Macaca fascicularis: one gene and its partner. The protein of the gene in region 1 purifies or fractionates together with the protein of each later gene. This does not show direct contact. Links are inferred from orthologs where the notes say so. Each region holds a gene or a part of one and is shown in the gene's direction. Other genes may lie near its edges.

Region 1 (4,993 bases):
TCAGGCAATATCGTCAAATATTATCTGTTATTTATATAAATAGCTAGCTTTTATTTTATATCAAAATTATCTTTTTGTAAGGCTGTATCAATTTATATTCCCACCGGCTGTGTTCTTTATATATTTGCTATCCATTGGTCCCCAAATGTTGTTTACTCTCATTACACTGTGGAATATTTAATGCCTTTTTGTTCTGCAAAAACCGTTTTTATTAATTAACATCAAGGATACGGTGCTGACAAATATTCTCTACAATTACAGAATGTTGGAAACTCTGCTGTCTGACATTCTTTCCGTGTGAATGGAACATCCCATTCTTGTCCAGAGCATCTGAGCCAGGCAGGTGACTTTGACACAGGATTTTCAATACAGGTACAAAGTTTTACATAGAGTTTTCAGACCCAACGTTTCACATTTGTCTTAACTTTGAGATTTCCAAGGAAAAAGCCTGCTTCTTACTCAGTCTAATGTTAACCTGATGCTACACACAGCTCTGCTTTGCTTTGTGTCTATCAAACACTGCTCCATTTAATTTTTACCAAAAATTCCCCTCATTCCCATAACCCAATAATGACACTTCTGTTTGATGAGAGGCATTGAGGTTCCTCTGGAGTGCAGTCTCCCTTGCTGCAGCAAGTTAATAAATCTAACTTTGTTGACTACAGGTTTGTTCCTGGTGGTCTTTATGGGAAGACTTTAGCAATCTTAAACTGTAGGCCCCAAATCCCAAAACAACAGGAAACTCTACTCAGTATCTTTTCTTTTCTTCTTCTTCCTTTTTTCTTTTTTTGAGACGGAATCTGGCCCTTGTCCCCCAGGTTGGAGTGCAGTGGCGCGATCTCGGCTCACTGCAACCTCCACCTCCCGGGTTCAAGCGATTCTCCTGCCTCAGCCGCCTAAGTAGCTGGGACTACAGGCGCCCGCCACCACGCCCGGCTCATTTTTGTATTTTTAGTAGAGACGGGGTTTCATCATGTTGGCCAGGCTGGTCTCAACCTCCTGACCTCGTGATCCGCCAGCCTCGGCCTCCCTTAGTGCTGGGATTACAAGCCTGAGCCACTGCGCCCGGCCAGTATCTTTTCTTAAAGATTCCTTTTTACACAAGATGAATTAGACAAGATGGATCATTTTGGCTTTTAGTTTTTCCAACGTTCCAACCTAGTTAGAGCGGCTGTTTTCTGTGCATGGAAAATTCTTTCCCCAGATCTTTGCCTGGCCCTGGCCCAGTTCACACCTAAAGTAGCCATCTGTCCTCACACTGCCGCAACCCGACCCCGTCACTCTACCTCATCTCATTTCATTTTCCTATTTTTCCAATCACTCTCTGAGATTATCTTACTTCATTATCTATTTGTTTATAAATTATCCCAATGAAGATGCAGGATCAGGAGAGAGGATACCACGACAGCGCGGACAGCCGCAGCTGCCCGGTGTCTAGAACTGTGCCCGACGAACACTTGTGGAATGGGTGAGTAGACGAGGAACTAGACACTTCGTTTGCCTTCGTCCCCTTTAAATACCCTCCAAGTGGATCCAGCCGTATTAAAACTCTGAGAAATAGGTGAATGGCATTTGGCCTCGCCATTGGCTGGAACTTTTGCCGTTGCTCCTGGCAACCACTGTTTTCCCACCAGTCGTGTCGTCGCCCTACTTGGCTCCGCCCCTCAGGGCGCCGAGCCTCGACCGGGCGGTAAAAATCGGCCCTTGCCCTTTAAGCGGCGGGACTTCTGGTCACGTCGTCCGCGGCCGCCGGAAGGGGAAGTTTCGCCTAAGAAGGCTGTCTCGCTGGTCCGAATTCGGTGGCGCCACGTCCTCCCGTCTCCGCCTTCTGCATCGCGGCTTCGGCGGCTTCCACCTCGATACCTAACAGTCGCGGAGCCGGCCGCGTCGTGAGGGGGTCGGCACGGGGAGTCGGGCGGTCGTGTGCATCTTGGCTACCTGTGGGTCGAAGATGTCGGACATCGGAGACTGGTTCAGGAGCATCCCGGCGATCACGCGCTATTGGTTCGCCGCCACCGTCGCGGTGCCCTTGGTCGGCAAACTCGGCCTCATCAGCCCGGCATACCTCTTCCTCTGGCCGGAAGCTTTCCTTTATCGGTTTCAGGTACTTACCAGAGACGGGGGGGCGTGGAGACTACAGGCCCCAGGAGGATCCGCGGCGGCGGAGCGTAGGCCGGCATGTTGCGGACGCGCGGTGCCAGCTGGGATTTGTAGTGCGTCCGGAGCCGGCGGTTTAGGGCGGGGTCCTTTGGGCCGGGGGAGGCTGTGGGAGCCGGGTCCTGGATAGCTGGAGTTGTGGGCTTGGCCTGGTGGGGAGGGGTTGACTTAACTAGTTTAGTGAGATTGTGCTTCCCGCTCTTCGCACTCATGAAGGAAGCAGTGAGATTAGTCGGCGGTAGTTGTCAATCTGTTGGACGCTGGCAATTAGGTCCGCCTGGAGCATTGCCCTCTGACCTCCCTCTGGTCACCCACGTGGGTGGCCTGTAGGTGTTAACTTCACCTTCTAGCTGAGTTCCTTTCACGTTAATGGAGTTTTTTTGTTTTGTTTTGTTTTTCCTATAGGAATGATTTAAAGTCAGAGATACAAAGAACGAGTGTATTTTTCTGCATTTCCCTCTAGCCCTAATTTAGTATCCCCCACGTAGTAATAGAATGTACGAAGGAATGGGCAAAGAGTAAATTTGTCCAGAAATAGAAGGCCTTGTTATTTTCTTAAGCATGAAGGAAACGGTCCAGAGTAACATTTGTGTCAAGAGAGTGCTAGTTTTCAGAAGGTTATTTGTATTCACCAATTTCTGATTTAAAACTTTAATCAGCGGCAGGTCAGATAGCAAGATCTGGCATTAATTTCAGCCCTTTGCTTGGCCTGTGGATGACGTTTTCTTGTCTTTCTCTCTCTTCACTGGGTATTATTTCTTGGTTTCCTTTGCTGGTTCCTTATCCTCCTTACTTTTAAATGTTAGGATGTTCCTTAGGAAACAGTTATAGGACTTTCTCTATAGACTCTCCCTAGCTTTAGATGGTCTCATGCATTCAGCCTCAGGGCTTTATGTTCTTTCTGTAAACTGGAGATTCTGAAATGTCAATATAAATATCTTCAGTCCAGATCTGTCTCCCGATTTCCAGATTTGTACATCCAACAGTTACTTGAAATCACGACTTGGATGACTAAGAGTCATCTTCATCTTAACGTGTCCAAAACTGAATCCCCTTTCCCCCTTTGCCTTAGAAGTGAATAGCAACTCCATTATTAGAGGAGCTGAAGTTAATTGTCAGAGTCATCTTTTATTTTTCTTGTTTTTCTCACACCCCGCAATCTGTCAGTAAATCCTGTTGACTCTATTTGAGACATATACCCAGAATACAATCCCTTGTCATTCTCCATTGCAAACCATTATCACTGCAATCTGGTTCCTTTCCGTCTTTTCTCTAGACAGCTAGAGTGATCCTTTTAAAACCTAAATCAAGTGCTGTCATTCCTCTGTCCAGAATCCTACCATGTCTTCTTATTGAGTAAAATCCAAGTTCTTTCAGCGGCCTGCAAGGCCCCTGCTGCCTCTCTGACCTCATCTCCTACTGCTCTCCAAAGTCTACCTTAGGCTCCACAATGAGATCCTTGCTGTTACTTCAGTGCTTATCTGGATCTCTCCTTAGGGCCTTTGCACGTGTTGTTTCTCTGCCTGAGGAAGATAACCGTGGCTCACTTGTTTACCTTCTATCATTCTTCAGGTCTCTGCCCAAATGCCCTCTTATTGACAAGGCCTTCTCTGGTGGCCCTATATAAAATAGCCCCTCCTTCACTTCACTCCCTTATCCTTCATTTTTCTTTTCTTTCTTTTTTTTTTTTTTTTTTTTTTTTTTTTTTTGGAGACGGAGTCTCGCTCTGTTGCCCAGGCTGGAGTGTATATGGTGCAATCTTGGTTCACTGCAACCTCTGCCTCCTGGGTTCAAGCGGTTCTCCTGTCTCAGCCTCCCAAGTAGCTGGAATTACAGGCGCACACCACCATGCCCAGCGTATTTTTGTATTTTAGTAGAGACAGGGTTTCGCCATGTTGGCCAGGCTGGTCTTGAACTCCTGACCTCAGGTGATGCACCCGCCTCAGCCTCCCAAAGTGCTGGGATTAGAGGTGCGAGCCACCGTGCCTGGCCTTATCCTTCATTTTTCTTGCTGCATATTACCCTTTGGTATTTGTCTGCTTCCCCTCAGAGAATAAGGCTCCAAGAGAGCCGGATCTTTGCCTTGTTCACCACTGTCCTTGTTACCTAGAATAGTGCCTGGCACATAGTAGGTGCTTGTATATTAACTGAGTTGTTGGAAGTAATTGTTCACTTGCTGTGTGTGGGCACTGGGGTGCAATAGTAAATAGGACTGAAAAGGTTTCAGATCCTGTGAAGACATAGAGGCACGTGATTTAAGGGGTGTAATATTTGATAGGGTGTTCCACCCCGAAAGGCCTCAGAGAAGACATTTGAAGAAATTGGAATACTGAGGAACCAGCCAGCTTTGAGTGGATCTGGCTCTGGAGACAACCAACCAATTCTGTGACTCAGCCTGGTGCTTATATTTGCCAAGCTTTTGCTTACATAACACATTTAACCTGATGACAGCAACCTTAGGAGACTGACTTAAGAGTGTATTGGGGAAGAGAGACATTTCAACATAGCAGGGAGGAGAATGAACTTGGACTATAGGCTGAGCGTAGAAGTTCTATATCCATCACTAGTAATTCTAGATCCTTTCACTAGTAAGTGAAAGACTCAGAGGTAGGAGCTGGGAACAGGAAGAAGACTGGGTTGCCAGCTGGCACAGGGTCAGCTGTAGGATGAGGATTGGTAGATGAAGGCAGGGAGATAGCCAGAGCTGGGTGCAGTAAAGCTAAGATGGAAAGGTGGGTGAAAGCTAGATCGTAGTTGAGCCTTGTATGTCATGTTAAGAGGTTTGAACTTTATTTTGAGGGCACTACGAAGTCTTTGGAGCCTTGTGAACAAAGGA
Region 2 (4,949 bases), on another chromosome or scaffold:
GAGAAGGGGAGGGGAGTCTGAGCTCAGTTTCCCACTGCCTGAAAAGAGGGTGGTACCTACTCCCCTCACAGGGTAACTGAATGAGACTGCCTGGAGGAAAGTTCTTCAAATGTGGCCCACCCCACCCCAGTGACCCCTGACATGGGGGAGGAAGGACAGCATCAGAAGGGACTTTCCGGGCACACCCAGCACCCAGCTCTGAGCTGTCCTTGAACTGTTGCATTTTAATCCTCACAGCAGCTCAACAAGGTACATACCGTCACCGTCCCCATTTTACAGATGGGGAAATTGAGGCTCAGAGCAGTTAAACAACTCACCTGAGGCCTCACAGCCAGTAAGTGGGTTCCCTGGTCTGAATATGTGTGCTGGAGGATCCTGTGGGTCACTCGCCTGGTAGAGCCCCAAGGTGGAGGCATAAGTGGGACTGGTGAATGACAGAAGGGGCAAAAAATGCACTCATCCATTCATTCTGGAAGTATCCACGGCACGTACGCCAGCTCCCAAGCAAGTTTGCACATTGCACAAAGGGTGATGCAATCTGATTTAGGCTTTTAAAGGGATTGCAATCAAGTGGGGCCCTACTGGCCTCAACCCTGTACCACCCCTCCCTTCCATCCCCAGTAGTCCCCAAAGACCTCCATCAACCCCAGGATGGGGGCCGTATTCCCAAAGAAAATCCAAGCTGTATACGCATCACACTGATTTTCCAGGAGCAGAAACAGAAACAGGCCTGAGGCTGGTCAGAATTGAACCCCCTCCTGCTCTGAGCAGCCTGCGGGGCAGGCTAAGCAGAGGGCTGTGCAGACCCACATAAAGAGTCTACTGTGTGCCAGGCACTTCACCCAAGGCACTTCACAAGCATGCTTGGGAATGAGACTTCCAACTCTCTAGGATGCAGGTGAAACACTTCCTGGTTCAAACAGGTGAAGCGGCCTGCCTGAGACAGCATCACGCTTCTTTACAGATTTGCTCTCCCACCTCTACCCTGTCTCATGGTCCCCCATGCTGGCCTGACGCTTGTGTCTGCCTCAGTCATGCTCCATTTTTCCATCCGGACAATCAAGAGGGTTTTTGTGTCTAAGGCTGACTGGGTAACTTCGGATGAGCGGCCTCTCTGCTCTGAGCCTCAGTTTCCTCATCTGTCAAATGGGCTCTAACCCACTCTGATCTCCCAGGGCGGCATCAGTCTTCAGCATCAGGCATTTCGGGGTGAATTAGTAAATGGTAGATCTTGCTACCAGTGGAACAGCCGCTAAGGATTCTGCAGTGAGAGCAGAGGGCCAGCAAAGTGGTACTCTCCCAGCGACTGGCTGACTCACGCCACCCCCTCCACCTTGGACGCAGGACACTGTGGTTTCTGAGCCAGGTACAATGACTCCTTTTGGTACGTGCAGTGGAGGCTGTATGCTGCTCAGGCAGAGCGTCCGGACAGCGTGGGCGGGCGACTCAGCGCCCAGCCTGTGAACTTAGTCCCTGTTTGCTCCTCCGGTAACTGGGGTGATCTTGGTTAATATTCACCAGCAGCCTCCCCCGTTGCCCCTCTGCACCCACTGCTTAAATACGGACAAGGACAGGGCTCTGTCTCCTCAGCCTCAGGCACCACCACTGACCTGGGACGGTGAATCGTAAGTATGCCTTTCACTGCGAGAGGTTCTGGAGAGGCTTCTGAGTCCCCCACGGCCCAGGCAGGCAGCAGGTCTGGGGCAGGAGGGGGGTTGTGGAGCGGGTATCCGCCCGCTGAGGTGCCGGGCAGATGGAGGGGCTGCAGCTGGGCTCCTATTGTCGTAATAACAGCAGCCATGAGGGTTGTGTCCTGCTTCCCAGTCCTGCCCGGTCCCCACTCAGTACCTACTGGTGGATACACTGGCTTTTGTAAGCAGAAGTGCACGAGGGTGTCTAGCTCCGCGGTCCTGGCACCCCAAGATACAGCAACAGCAAGGAAGCGCAGCCATTTCTTTCTGTTTGTGCAGCTCCTGTGTCTGTCAGGGGGTTCCTATCTGTTGTCTCCTGTAAGCCTCACCACCTCTCCTACTACTTGGACACGCATCTTTTTCCCCTTCTATGGATGAGGAGGTTAAGGTTCAGGGAGGGGTGAGGAGGAACGCCGGCTCACATTCTCCATCCCCTCCAGATACGGCCAGGAACAGACCTGTGCCAGGTCTCAGCCTTACATCAAGGTGGGTCTCCCCCTGCACTGTGGACCTCTGGGCCCTCCTGTCCCAGTGGAGGACAGGAAGCTGTGAGGGGCACCGTCACCCAGGGTTCAAGCTGGCATTCCTGAATAATCGCTCTGTGCCAGGCCACGGCTAAGCTCTGTGCACAATTAAGCCTCATAACCCTCCAAGGCAGTTACCAGGGTGATTCCCATTTTACAGATGAGGAAGTTGGGGACCGAGTGGTTAATAACTGGCCCCAAATCACACACCATCCATAATTTGGGCTCAGGCACCTGGCTCCAGGCCCCGAACTCCTGAGCCTGGCCCTAGTGCTCACCGTTTCTCTCAGGTCTCAGGCGCTGGATGGGGAACAGGAAGCCTGGGCTGGACTTGAGGCCTCTCTGATGCTCGGTGACTTCAGACAGTTGCTCAACCTCTCTGTTCTCTTGGGCAAAACATGATAACCTTTGACCTCTGTCCCCTCCCCTCACCCCACCCGACCTTGATCTCTGGAGTGTTGGAAGAATTTAATTTTTCCTGCACTGAGTTTGGAGACAGGGGTCAAAAAGCTGACCAAGGCCAAGCTGGCCAGTTTCCCATAGAACGCCTCTAAAAGACCTGCAGCACTAGCAGCAAGAACTGGTATTCTTGAGAACTTACTGTGCACCAGGCACTTCTTGGTATTTTGTGCATATTTAATTTCACAATAACTCTATGACAAAGTCCACCTTTCTCATCTCCAGGAAACTGAGGTTCAGAGAGGTTAAGTAACGTGTCCAAGGTCACACAGTTAATAGCAAGTTGATCTGGAGCAATCTGGCCTGAGAGCCTCTAATTCTAGCCACAAACTGAGGCTGCCCCTCTTCATTTAGCCAGGCCACCTCTGAAATCTTCTGGTTCAAGACTTCTGGCTCCAGCTTTGTACACAGAGACTATTAAATGTCAGGTTTTGCAGTCACATCTGTTTAATCCCAGACAAAACATCTGGGATTAAATCTCAGTTTTGTAAGCAAGTAGCTCTGTGATTTTTAGTGAGTTATTTAATCCTCTTTGGGCCTCAATTTTTCTGTCTATAAAATAGGGTTCATCATTTACACCTCATAGGGTAAGCTTTGAGGACAGATTAGATGATACAGTGCCTGTAAATCGCCTGGTGTTAGTAAGTGTGGCAATGATGGTGACACTGAGGTTGATGTTTGCTTAGCATAGGTTAGGCAGCTAGCAGGCAGTAAACAAATACTTGGAGAATTTAATGGAAAATTGGCCAAACTCAGATGCTGTTCACTGCTGAGCAGGAGCCCCCTCCTGCTGAAATGGGTCCTGGGGAGCGCAGCAGCTGGCAGGAAGAAATCTGCCATCTCTCGGGCAGGAGCTCAACCTCTGTGCAGGCACAGGGACGGCTTCCGCACCTGGTGCCCACTCTCGCATTACGTCAGTTATTCCTCATCTCTCTCCAAGGGATTCTTTTCTCCACTGTATAGCTCTGAAGCCAATGCTCACAGAAGTGAAGTCATTTACCCCGGGCCCCCTGCCAGTAAGTGACAGGGCCTGGTCACACTTGGGTTTATTTATTGCCCATTTCAACAGGTCGTTTGACCATAGGCGAGATTCTCTTCCCTGCACCCTGCTGGGTTGCTCTTGGTCCCTTATTTTATGCTCCCGGGTAGAAATGGTGTGAGATTAGGCAGGAAGTGGCTTGCTTCCCTCTCCCTGGCCCTGCAAAGGGTGCTCCCACCTGCCCCAGTTCCAGAAATGTCACCATGAAGTCTTCATTCTTCTGTTTTAAAGCTTGGCCTCAGTGTCCATACACCATGGGGTACTTGACCATCTACTTTCTCCTCTCCAGCCGCCCTCCCAGGCACTAGCTTTTGAGGGTGCAGGGTGCTGCCTCTGATAGAAGGGCCGGGAGAGAGCAGGTTTTGGAGTCCTGATGCTATGAGGAACAGCTTGGGAGGCATAATGAACCCAACACGAAGCTTGAGACCAATGTCAGAGCCCAATTCTGCCATTCATCATCTGAGATTTGAGGGCACAGCTGTCTCAGTCCGTGATCTGAGTGCTGGGAAAGCCAAGACTTGTTCCAGCTTTGTCACCGACTTGCTGTATGGCCTCGACAAGGCCCTGACCCTCTCTGGGCTTCAAACTCTTCACTGTGAAAGGAGGAAACCAGAGGAGGTGATGTGACGCCAGGAAAGATGGATGGGTGTGGGGAATTGTGCTCCTCCCAGCTGTCACCCCCTCTCCACCCTCCCTGCACCAGCCTCGCCACCTCCTTCGAGCCCAGCAGCCTCCTGTCTAGGAGGGTGCCTCTTCTCCATCTGTTTTGCTACATCGAACCCAGATGCCATTCTAACCAAGAATCCTGGCTGGGTGCAGTGACACTCACCTGTAACCCCAGCACTTTGGGAGGCCGAGGCAGGCGGATCAAGAGGTCAGGATTTCAAGACCTGCCTGGCCAACATGGTGAAATCTCGTCTCTACTAAAAATACAAAAATTAGCCAGACGTGGTGGCATGTGCCTGTAATCCCAGCTACTTGGGAAACTGAGGCAGGAGAACTGCTTGAACCCGGGAGGCAGAGGTTTCAGTGAGCCAAGATCACACCACTGCACTCTAGCCTGGGGGATAAAGCGAGACTCTGTCTCAAAAAAAAAAAAAAAATCCTATGTTAGCATACAGAGGTCCCCAGTGAGGTCTTCTCCCAGCCCCACTTTGCACAACTGGGGAGAGTGAGGCCCCAGGACCAGGGGATGCTTACTCAAGGCCAAATGGATAGTGGTGGCCCTGCCAGGAC

Evidence for each region.
Region 2: the proteins of DERL1 (region 1) and SERPINA1 purify together in Homo sapiens (affinity purification with western blotting; 4 studies listed by BioGRID). This does not show direct contact. The link is inferred for Macaca fascicularis from reciprocal best matches to the Homo sapiens genes DERL1 and SERPINA1.

What each region holds. Positions count from the first base shown.
Region 1 is NC_088382.1:132,692,489-132,697,481, reverse strand, and holds the start of DERL1 (derlin-1), read left to right. Parts: upstream 1-1,752; 5' UTR 1,753-1,951; coding exon 1,952-2,104; intron 2,105-4,993. UniProt on the Homo sapiens protein: Functional component of endoplasmic reticulum-associated degradation (ERAD) for misfolded lumenal proteins. Forms homotetramers which encircle a large channel traversing the endoplasmic reticulum (ER) membrane.
Region 2 is NC_088381.1:162,414,022-162,418,970, reverse strand, and holds the start of SERPINA1 (alpha-1-antitrypsin), read left to right. Parts: upstream 1-1,582; 5' UTR 1,583-1,625; intron 1,626-1,970; 5' UTR 1,971-2,061; coding exon 2,062-2,177; intron 2,178-4,949.